Linked DNA regions of Caenorhabditis elegans. The protein of the gene in region 2 purifies or fractionates together with the protein of the main gene of each other region. This does not show direct contact. Each region holds a gene or a part of one and is shown on either strand. Other genes may lie near its edges.

Region 1 (4,066 bases), on a different chromosome or scaffold from region 2:
AGAGATGCGGTGGATTTTTCATTTGTATATAAATACTGTTCGTAGTTTCATGAGACATGTCGACAACAATTCGAACAAACAAATTATAATATAGATTAAGACGAAATCCGGCATGATCCAAACCATCATCAGCGAATTCGGCTAATCGAACTCCGAAATATACCACTGCCAGTCTTTTGTCATGCTCAAATCTCGCATACGAGAGGTATTTATTGCTTCCTGCCACTTTGAATGAACTGTTTTCACGGGATGCATCTGCATTATGGTGTGACTGAAGCTTTCTTAAAAACAAAAATCTGATTAGAAATTCTGTAGAATATGTGCAACTTACACACTACAAACTGTGTTTTCTTGACTGATGAAATCTCCTCTAACAAGGAAAAGTCCTGAATTAGGGCAGTTTCCAATCGCAATCGCAGAAATATTTATATCCATGTGTTGGGGTCTAAATTATAACTTGAGTATATAAAAAGCGGATGAGTATTCTATTACGTTATTTTTGTGAAAAGCGTATGCATTTTCGGGACTTCCAAAAATACTTGATCATGGAGCATTCCAGTTATTCTAGATGTGAAACTTGATGCGAACTCGGAGAACAATTCATTTTCATCTTCTACTTCACCGTTTGGCGTCAAAACTAAATGAGCATCGATGACGTATGATTTATCTTCGTACGCAGCTCGTGGCACCATCCCCACCTTGATCCAGTTTACCTCGTCAACTTTAGACTGAAATTAAATTGTTTCAAATACGGCCAATTAAAAAATCGCTTACCAATTTCAAGTGTGTTTTCAAAACATCTTTTATATTTTCCATGTGTGCTCGGCAATATCCAAAGCAATCATTATTCATGCTGCCAATGAGCTTAGCATCGAAATTCAGCTCAATCGCCTGTTTTTTACTAAACTGTCTCGTCTTCGCAACTGTTTCCGATTCTTCTGCAGCGGCCCATAACATCCGCACGAGTTTTTCTTGTTCTTCGATATTTACACCACCTCTGTGCTTCGTTTTCTCATAAAGAATGTGAGTTGATGGGAGAGAGTGCCGTTTTAGAACAGAACAGTCGACTGGTTTTGAAGTAGAAGGCCTTTGTGACTGTAGCAGGTAATCACGAAGATATCCACGATTCACTGGATACGAAAAATTGTTTAAATGATTTCCTGGAAAAGCCGACGATGAAGAGTGAACAGGCTGTTCTTGTACGTCAACTTCCGATTTAGATTTTGAATTTCGATCCATCCGAAACGTTGTCAATAGCATCTTGTTTGAATGCCCAATTGTTAAGGTGTTCACTGGAGTGCATTCTGTTTTTCGATTTGGTAAAGTTCCAGACGAAAAATTCGATCTACCACGTGGAAATGTTGATTGACTCTGAGGAACTCCTCTGGAAAAAAACATTGTTTCATTTGACTACCGTTTGCTCACCGAATTTCAATTACCTTGGATGCTTCGGCCTAACAGAAGTTGTAGCATCATCGCTAGAGTCATCATTATCAAACGGGAGCATTTTGTGAAAGACTTTTTGAAAATGGCATTTATTTTACGAAAAAAATGAGAAACAATTTTATTCAAAAATTTGATGATGTATGTTCGCTCCATTGACAATTAGCAACGAGACTCCGCAGTTACGGCTAAAATTTAAATTTGATCAAGCATTAAATCCTTTTTATTTTGTTTTTAAGCGCCTAGGCGCGCCTTTATGTTATTTAGTTAAAGTAGCTGTAACTACTCCGTGTAAGCTGTAAAATTATAATCTAAAAATAAGACTATAATCTCAACACTTTTTCACAACAGTTCCATTGCAATTAACGTCATTATTGAATTTCTATTTTACAATTCTTGTTGCTTAACTTAAGTTCTCTACTTACTAAACAAATATACGAAGCCTTTACAGCATGAGCGCGATCTCGCCTGATACAAAAAGTTTTGCGATTCCGACATTGGCTGATGAAGGTTCCTCAAGCAAGCCAGCATCATCTTTGTGAGTTTAATAAATAACATTTCTTTTTCAAACTACAATTTTTCAGAGATTTGCCGAAACACGAGTCTATTCGTTTCAAGCCGATTAAAACACTTGCAAGTAGAATTGATGGATCGGAGTATTATGACGAGGCGAGCATGGAGAAAGTGATGTCAGTTTGAGACCAGCATATATATTAATATGTTATATTTTTAGGGAAATGCTTGAAATCGGCAGAACCGATGAAGCTGTAGCTTACGCGGATACATTATACTCTAATATAATTGATGATGAACAGCAAGATATTGTCACCATCGCTGAATACGTAAAAATTCTCGTCGTTCTCCGTCAATGGCGGCGTATTAGCCATATTATTGCTCGTGGGAACTATCATCAGATTCACATTGTTTTTGCTTATTATGCCGCTACCGCACTTTTCCAACGGAAATTATACGAAGATGTAGCTGAATTATCGGTCGGTCATCTTCTTCCAAGTAATGGCCAAATTGGACCTCTTCCTGTTCGAACACTTTCACAAGTGACGGGGAGATATGTCGAGGAAGAAAGAATGAAGTACTCATTTGCAAATATGGCCGAATTGGATAATAGCTCTAAAAAGCTCAGAATGGTTCCAGCTCTTATGATAACCATAGCAGAAAGTTTTTTGAAATTGATGAATCGTGATGCTGCAATGATTTGTATTAATTACGCGCTGAGTCTTGTAAGTCATCTTTTATACATGATTTGACCGTGTTTTATTATTTCAGGATAATACAACTCTCCATGTCGAACGATTAATGGCAAAATACAATCTGGTTGAGCCTGCGATGTGGGAGAAGTACAGAAAAGTCAGAAATGAACAGCTGAAGTTACACGAAGGAAATCATGATCCACGAATTCTTATGGAACGTGCTCAACGTGCCTACGAGATGGGTCGATTTCGAGAAACAAAAAAAATCACTGACGAGCTATTTGATCTATTTGGACCACATCCTGAGTGCATTATTCTTCGTATTCACTGCCTAACAATGTTAAAGGATTCTCGATCTCTGCTTGAATTAGGTCATCAACTAGTTAGTGATGATCCTCATATTCCACTTCCATGGTATTGTGTTGCTATGTATTATTATAGTATTGGAGCAAACTCAAGAGCTCGAAATTTCATCAGTATGTTTCCCATTTCATTGAGGTTTAAATAGAGCTTCTTTAGGTAAATGCACGATGATGGATTCGACGTTTGCTGAAGGATGGGTGGCTTTTGGTCATATTCTTCACTATGAAGTTGAACACGAACAGTCCATGAGTTGCTATTACAGAGCGTCGAAACTTGTGGATAAAAGTTCTGAACCGTTCTTGTACACTTCTCTTCAGTACAGTACGCATAGTCAGAAGCTGAGCAAGAAGTTCATGGGAGAAGCAGTTGCTCGGGCACCGAATGACCCTCTGATTCGTCACGAAGAAGCTTGTGTAGCCTATACTGCAAAAAGTTACGCGGAAGCCGATATTTTATTCAGAACTGTTTTGTATATGGTTACAGAGACCGATGAAATCATTCCAATTGAAGAAGTCTTGAAAAAGTAAGTATCTAATTCGATGATTATTTGAGAGAAAAATAACATTTTTTCAGGAAAATCGACGACTTTTGGCACCCAATGCTCAATAACATTGGCCACATAGCCAGACGGCAAGGAAGGCTGAATGAAGCAATCATGTTTTATCAAAAAGCTATCCGAATGGAGCCAAAGTTTGTAGATGCCATTGCATCAACTGCTCTCTGTTACGCAGTTCTCGGCAACATTGATAAAGCAACTGAATTCTTCAATAAAGCTCTTGCGATCGATCCATTTAATGAAACAATCCGTCAATGTCTGTCAAAAATGATTCAAGCGTCAAAAGAAAGTTATTCTGTTGATCAACAAACGGTAAATATACTATATCTTATGTTATCTAGGTTTTTTGTTTTCAGCTCCCGCCCGCATACAACTCTGAAACATACTTCGGTGCACAAGAAATTCTTCCGTACTGTGCAATAAGAAAACCACGAAATGATGGATTCGTTGTTCCGTCCATCGTATCGTCAAGCCAACCATTTATGTCGATGCTGAG
Region 2 (4,999 bases):
ATAAATGAAATCAGACAGGCAGCCGTCCGACAGACACACCGCGGCGGCGAACAAACGAAAAACCTCCGACGGGGTGAGTACGGTGTGTGGCTTGGCATGATGCCAAGCGGGTTGCAGTTCGATTTCGTGTGTACCCCTTATGTGTGGCGGCGTATGATGAAGGGGGCACATACGCCCGGCGTGCAGGTCGGTACGCAAACACCGTGACGCACAGATGCACACGAAGAGAGACTCGACGGAGACACGTTGTAGTTTTTGGAGAGTGGCGGGGTTTTCGTCTCAATTTATATTTATTTTTGACGATTTTTTCGGCGGAAATGTTAATAAATATTAATTTTGTTTGAATTTTCATTGATAATTAGGCATTTTCTTCCTAAAATAGTGGAAAAATACCCCCGAAAATACCGTTTTACTTCCCACTAAACATTTAAATGCATTTTAAAGCATTTTCCTTTCAGAAAATCGAAAAACCATGGGCAAGCTCACCAAGGAAGAGGAACTTCTGCTCTCGAGCTACTCGGCGACCAGCTCCACCAAGGGAAACCTCTTCTTCTACCTCAACGCGTTGATCATCTCCATCGCCCCGCTCTACCTCTTCTACGGAGTTCACCAGATGGAGGTTAGCCGGAAATTCTATCGGCTAGGAAAACCTTGTGAAACGCATTAAATTTTCAGATCCAAGACTCGCTTGTCGTGTGGGGACTCTCTGCCGTCGGCACTGCCTACCTCCTGTCCCTGGCCTGCAAAAACCAGAAGTGCCTTCTCAAGCATCAGTGAGGGTTTTTTTGAATTTTTAAAAATCGGAAATCGATTTTTCACCCCAATAAAAACCCCCAAAATTTTCAGAATCGTGATGAAGCGCGGATCAGCTGTGGAACGCGAGATCAGCGGACAATATGCTGCTGACAAGAAAATGACTGTTAAGGAGAAGGAGGAGCGCGCGCTTTTCCGCAAAAACGAGGTCGCCGACACCGAATCCACCTACTTGTCGGTCTTCTACACAAACTCGCTCTACTTGACCATCATGCTCGTCTCGGCGTTCTTCTTGCTCGCCAACGTGGCTCCAGTCTTCAACTTGCTCATCTCCACCATCGGATCCGCCGGACTCGTCGCCTTCCTCTCCACCGCTAAGAACTAAGCGATCTTTACAAACGGGACCCCCCTTTTTTTTCTCAAAAAGTTTCATGTATTTATCATAAAAAACGAAAGTTTAATTTATTTTTCCCCACCACCCACCCGCAGATTTTTTGTATAATAAATCCCAAAAACTAAAAATGTTTATTTTTTTCTTTTTTCCCAAGAATTTCAGGTTTATAATCCAGTCCAAGCTGCTTTTTTAATATGATTCTGCTCGTCCAAGAGAACTACACAGCTGTTGGGGCAACTGCGCTCCACTGAACAATTATTTTAGCGCGATTTTCTGATTTTTAACATTAAGAACAGCATTTTTCGATAAAACGCCATATTTCATACCATTTTCAGCGATTATAATTAATATTAAACGATTAAAATCGATTTTCGCCAGCGAAAAACACCAAAAATTAAATTTTCACCTCAAGACCAGGTGCTGCAAATGCGCTCTAGTGATAATTAGTTGAAAAACACGGGATTCTGTTAAAATATATGATTGTCTAGTTACAAAATTTGTGAAAAATGAAAAAAAAATTAATTTACAAAGTTTTTCTCATTAGAGCGCGTTTGAGGCATGCGGTCGGCGAGAAACTTGAATTTTAATTGATTTTTAGTGATTTTTAAGTAACAAAGTGTTTAAAAAAAGAAGAAAAATTCAAATTTCCCATGCAAGAAATTTTCCATCAAAAAATCGGATTTTCAGATGCTCTCGGAGGAGCCCTACGAAACGTATCACCCGGAATTTCCAGATCCAGAGATTCGACGAATAGCTCTAAAAAGCTCGGCAGTCGTCGAGCTGCTCCGAATCGAATCACCATCTTCATTTTTCTGCCGTCCCGTCGATCATGTCACCGATGATCAATTATTGATTCGCGAACCGTACCGCCTAACAACTCGAATTATCGATTTTTCGGCGGGAAACATGGCGATGGCTCCGCTCCGGCCACGTGTATTCGCTCGATGTTTAATTTTGAAAAATTTGGAGCTTATCGAGGCCGCCCGGATTTTTTTCATCGATTCTGCGGTCACTGCTAATGTTTCGTGGAAATGTCTGTTTCAAATTGATGAAAATCTCAAATTTCACCCATGGCAGGCGATGCATTGCACTTTGGGACGTTTGGTGCACCTTTCGGTCTGATTTTTAGCACTTTTTAACCCAGAAATTCAAATTTCCCGCCGATCGCATGTTGTAAATGCGCTCTATAGAGCAAAAATGTGTGCATTTTTCCTGATGAAAATCCACGGATTTCTGGCTGGCTTACCTCATAAATTATTGAAATGGAAGAGTTATTGCCGAACTAGGCCATTTTGGCTCGGCCATATATGGGGTAGATTTACGGCGCGTTGCGTGTCGCGTCGCGGTTCGATTTTAGTTATAAAACTAATGCGTTTGTCCGTGTGGAGTACACGGCTTTCCCACGCGTTGTCCGGCAGGCGATTGTCAATGGAGCGCGAAAAATTCGAGGAAGAAGACCAGAACCCCGTGAGAAATTCAAATTTCCCGCCGTTGCAAATGCGCTCCATGGCAAAAATGTGCATTTTTCCTGATGAAAATCGTAAAAAATTGACTGGAAAACTATAAAATAGAGATTTCCATCTGAAAATTCAAATTTTCAAACGAAATATTGAAAGTGCGCTCCATTGAGAAAAACCGGACATTTGAATTTTTGAGAGGAAATTGGGGTTTTTGATGGTTTTTTAACCTAAAAATGCTATTTTTCAGCTAAAATTGACCTGAAAAATACGAAAAAATCCAACAATAAACGGAGATTTTTCATTGGAGCGCACTTGCAACACGCAATCTGAATTTGAATTGCCCGCCAAAAATGTTTTTAAACAATTTACAAAAAAAAAATCGATTTTTTGAAAATTATTGATTTTTCAAAAATTATCGATTTTTTCAGGACTCATGGACAGACACCCAGTGCACCGAATTTCGAAATATTGTCTCTAAATTTGCAAAATTTCAAATTACCGCCAACCAGTGTGACGTGGATTTTCGCTCGGACCGCCCGTCTCTTCTCGTGAACCTGTACGGATTGCCAAATGGAACAGAAATCGATAAAAAAGTGGCGATCGAGGAGATTTGCGCGGTTTCTATGCAAAATGTTATGGTCTCTCAATTTCCCACTAATTTTATGGGTATAATTTTTGAATTTTTGGAAAAAAAAAATTTCGCGAAAATTTCAAAAACCCGAAAAACCCGAACAAAGTTTATATAACATTCGAATTCAGCACGCCGAGAGCTTTGATTTAAGTATAATCATGACTATGGGTTACGAGTAATTGGGTCCCACCACGAAAATCCCCGGGGTTACTGTAGTTTTTCGTGGTGGGACCCGGAAAATTTTCAAAATCAATGGAATCTGGTCATGATTATACTTAAATGGAAGCATTCAAACAGCTGAATTTGAATTTCATAGTTTTGTTTTAAAAAAATGAAAAATTTCCGAAAAATTTGGGTCTCGCCACGAAACCCCGAAATTTTTGGTTTTTCCGCTATTTTTTTGGTTTAAAACATGGAATGTGTTTAAAATGTCATAAAAAACTAATTTTTCTCAAACATTATCTAAAAAAAAATCGAAATTTGGATTAGTTTTTCATAGAAAATGTCAAAAAAGGAATAAAAAATTCAAAAATTTTTGTAAAAATCAAATTCACTACATTTCTAGCTTCAATTTAAGTATAATAATGACCAATTTTGCTAGAATTTGAACAAAAAATCGGGTCCCACCGCGAAAACTACAGTACCCCTGAGGTTTTCGTGGCGGGACCCAACTTTTTTAAAGATTTAGCAAAAAAGGTCATGATTATATTCAAATTGAAGCTCTCAGTGAGACACAATCAGTCGAAATATGAATTTTCAGAAAAAAATTAATTTTGAAAAATTTTGGTTAAAAAAAAAAAAATAAAAACATTTTTTTTTTTTTTGAAAATTTTTTTCCAGTCAATCCCAAGCTCGAGGAGCTCGACAAAGAGCAAGACCACCTCGACGTGATTCTTCTCGAAGAGTTCCGCCGGGACCTCCCAGCCGACTGGGCTCACGAGCCGCCTGCCGATTACCGTGAAGACGACGCCGACTGGGATATACTGCAGTGCCACGTGGCAGAATGGAATGACACGGCACTCGAGCAATTCCGAAGAGCCGATGGAAGCTTTTGGGCGATGCTCGAGCCGAGTTGCACCGTATCACCCTGGGAAATGCACGTTACACCGATTTTGGCACCGGAAAAGATGTCTGGTACGGTGGAAATTGAACAATTTTGCTCGAAATTCTGCTTAAACTCGCGAAATAAAGCGAAAAATTGAGTAAAATGGCGAAAATTGACCCAGAAATTTGAAATTTCCCGCCGACCGCATGTTGTGCAAGCGCGCTCCAATGAGAAAAGGGATAGCGGAGCATCGTACTGAGCACAATTCGAATTTTTTCAGATAATGAACATTGGATTTTCGAGCAGCTCGTAAAAAACTCGGAAAATCAGCAAAAAATCGACGATTTCTACTCGAACCTCAAGAATCAGCGGCCGCTAGAGATGGAAGAAATGTTAGAAAATTTCGAATTTTCAGTGAAAAATGTGAAAAATATGCGGAAATCGATTAAAACCTGAAAAATTATGCTAAAAAATCGATAAGTTCGCCGAAAATTTGAACTTGGCGCTGTTTTATCGATGGAGCGCATTTTTAACGGCGAAAGATTGAATTTTCCGCCAAAAATCGATGTTTTGAAGTTTTTCTCAATAGAGCGCACTTTCAACAGCGAGAAATTTGAATTTTCCACCAAAAATCGATTTTTAAAAGTTTTTCTCAATAGAGCGCACTTTCAACAGCGAAAAAATTGAATTTTCCACCAAAAATCGATTTTTTAAAG

Evidence for each region.
Region 1: the proteins of eri-5 (region 2) and rrf-3 purify together in Caenorhabditis elegans (affinity purification with mass spectrometry; 2 studies listed by BioGRID). This does not show direct contact.

What each region holds. Positions count from the first base shown.
Region 1 is NC_003280.10:8,159,999-8,164,064, reverse strand, and holds the start of rrf-3 (RNA-directed RNA polymerase), read right to left. Parts: upstream 1,601-4,066; 5' UTR 1,508-1,600; coding exon 1,440-1,507; intron 1,385-1,439; coding exon 775-1,384; intron 729-774; coding exon 493-728; intron 446-492; coding exon 332-445; intron 282-331; coding exon 1-281. Other genes in the region: emb-27 (Cell division cycle protein 16 homolog), read left to right, coding at 1,896-1,981, 2,028-2,132, 2,177-2,681, 2,728-3,127, 3,171-3,537, 3,588-3,882, 3,927-4,066.
Region 2 is NC_003282.8:2,388,987-2,393,985, forward strand, and holds the start of eri-5 (Tudor domain-containing protein), read left to right. Parts: upstream 1-1,834; coding exon 1,835-2,263; intron 2,264-3,035; coding exon 3,036-3,273; intron 3,274-4,078; coding exon 4,079-4,372; intron 4,373-4,563; coding exon 4,564-4,675; intron 4,676-4,999. Other genes in the region: trap-3 (Translocon-associated protein subunit gamma), read left to right, coding at 473-619, 676-773, 847-1,138.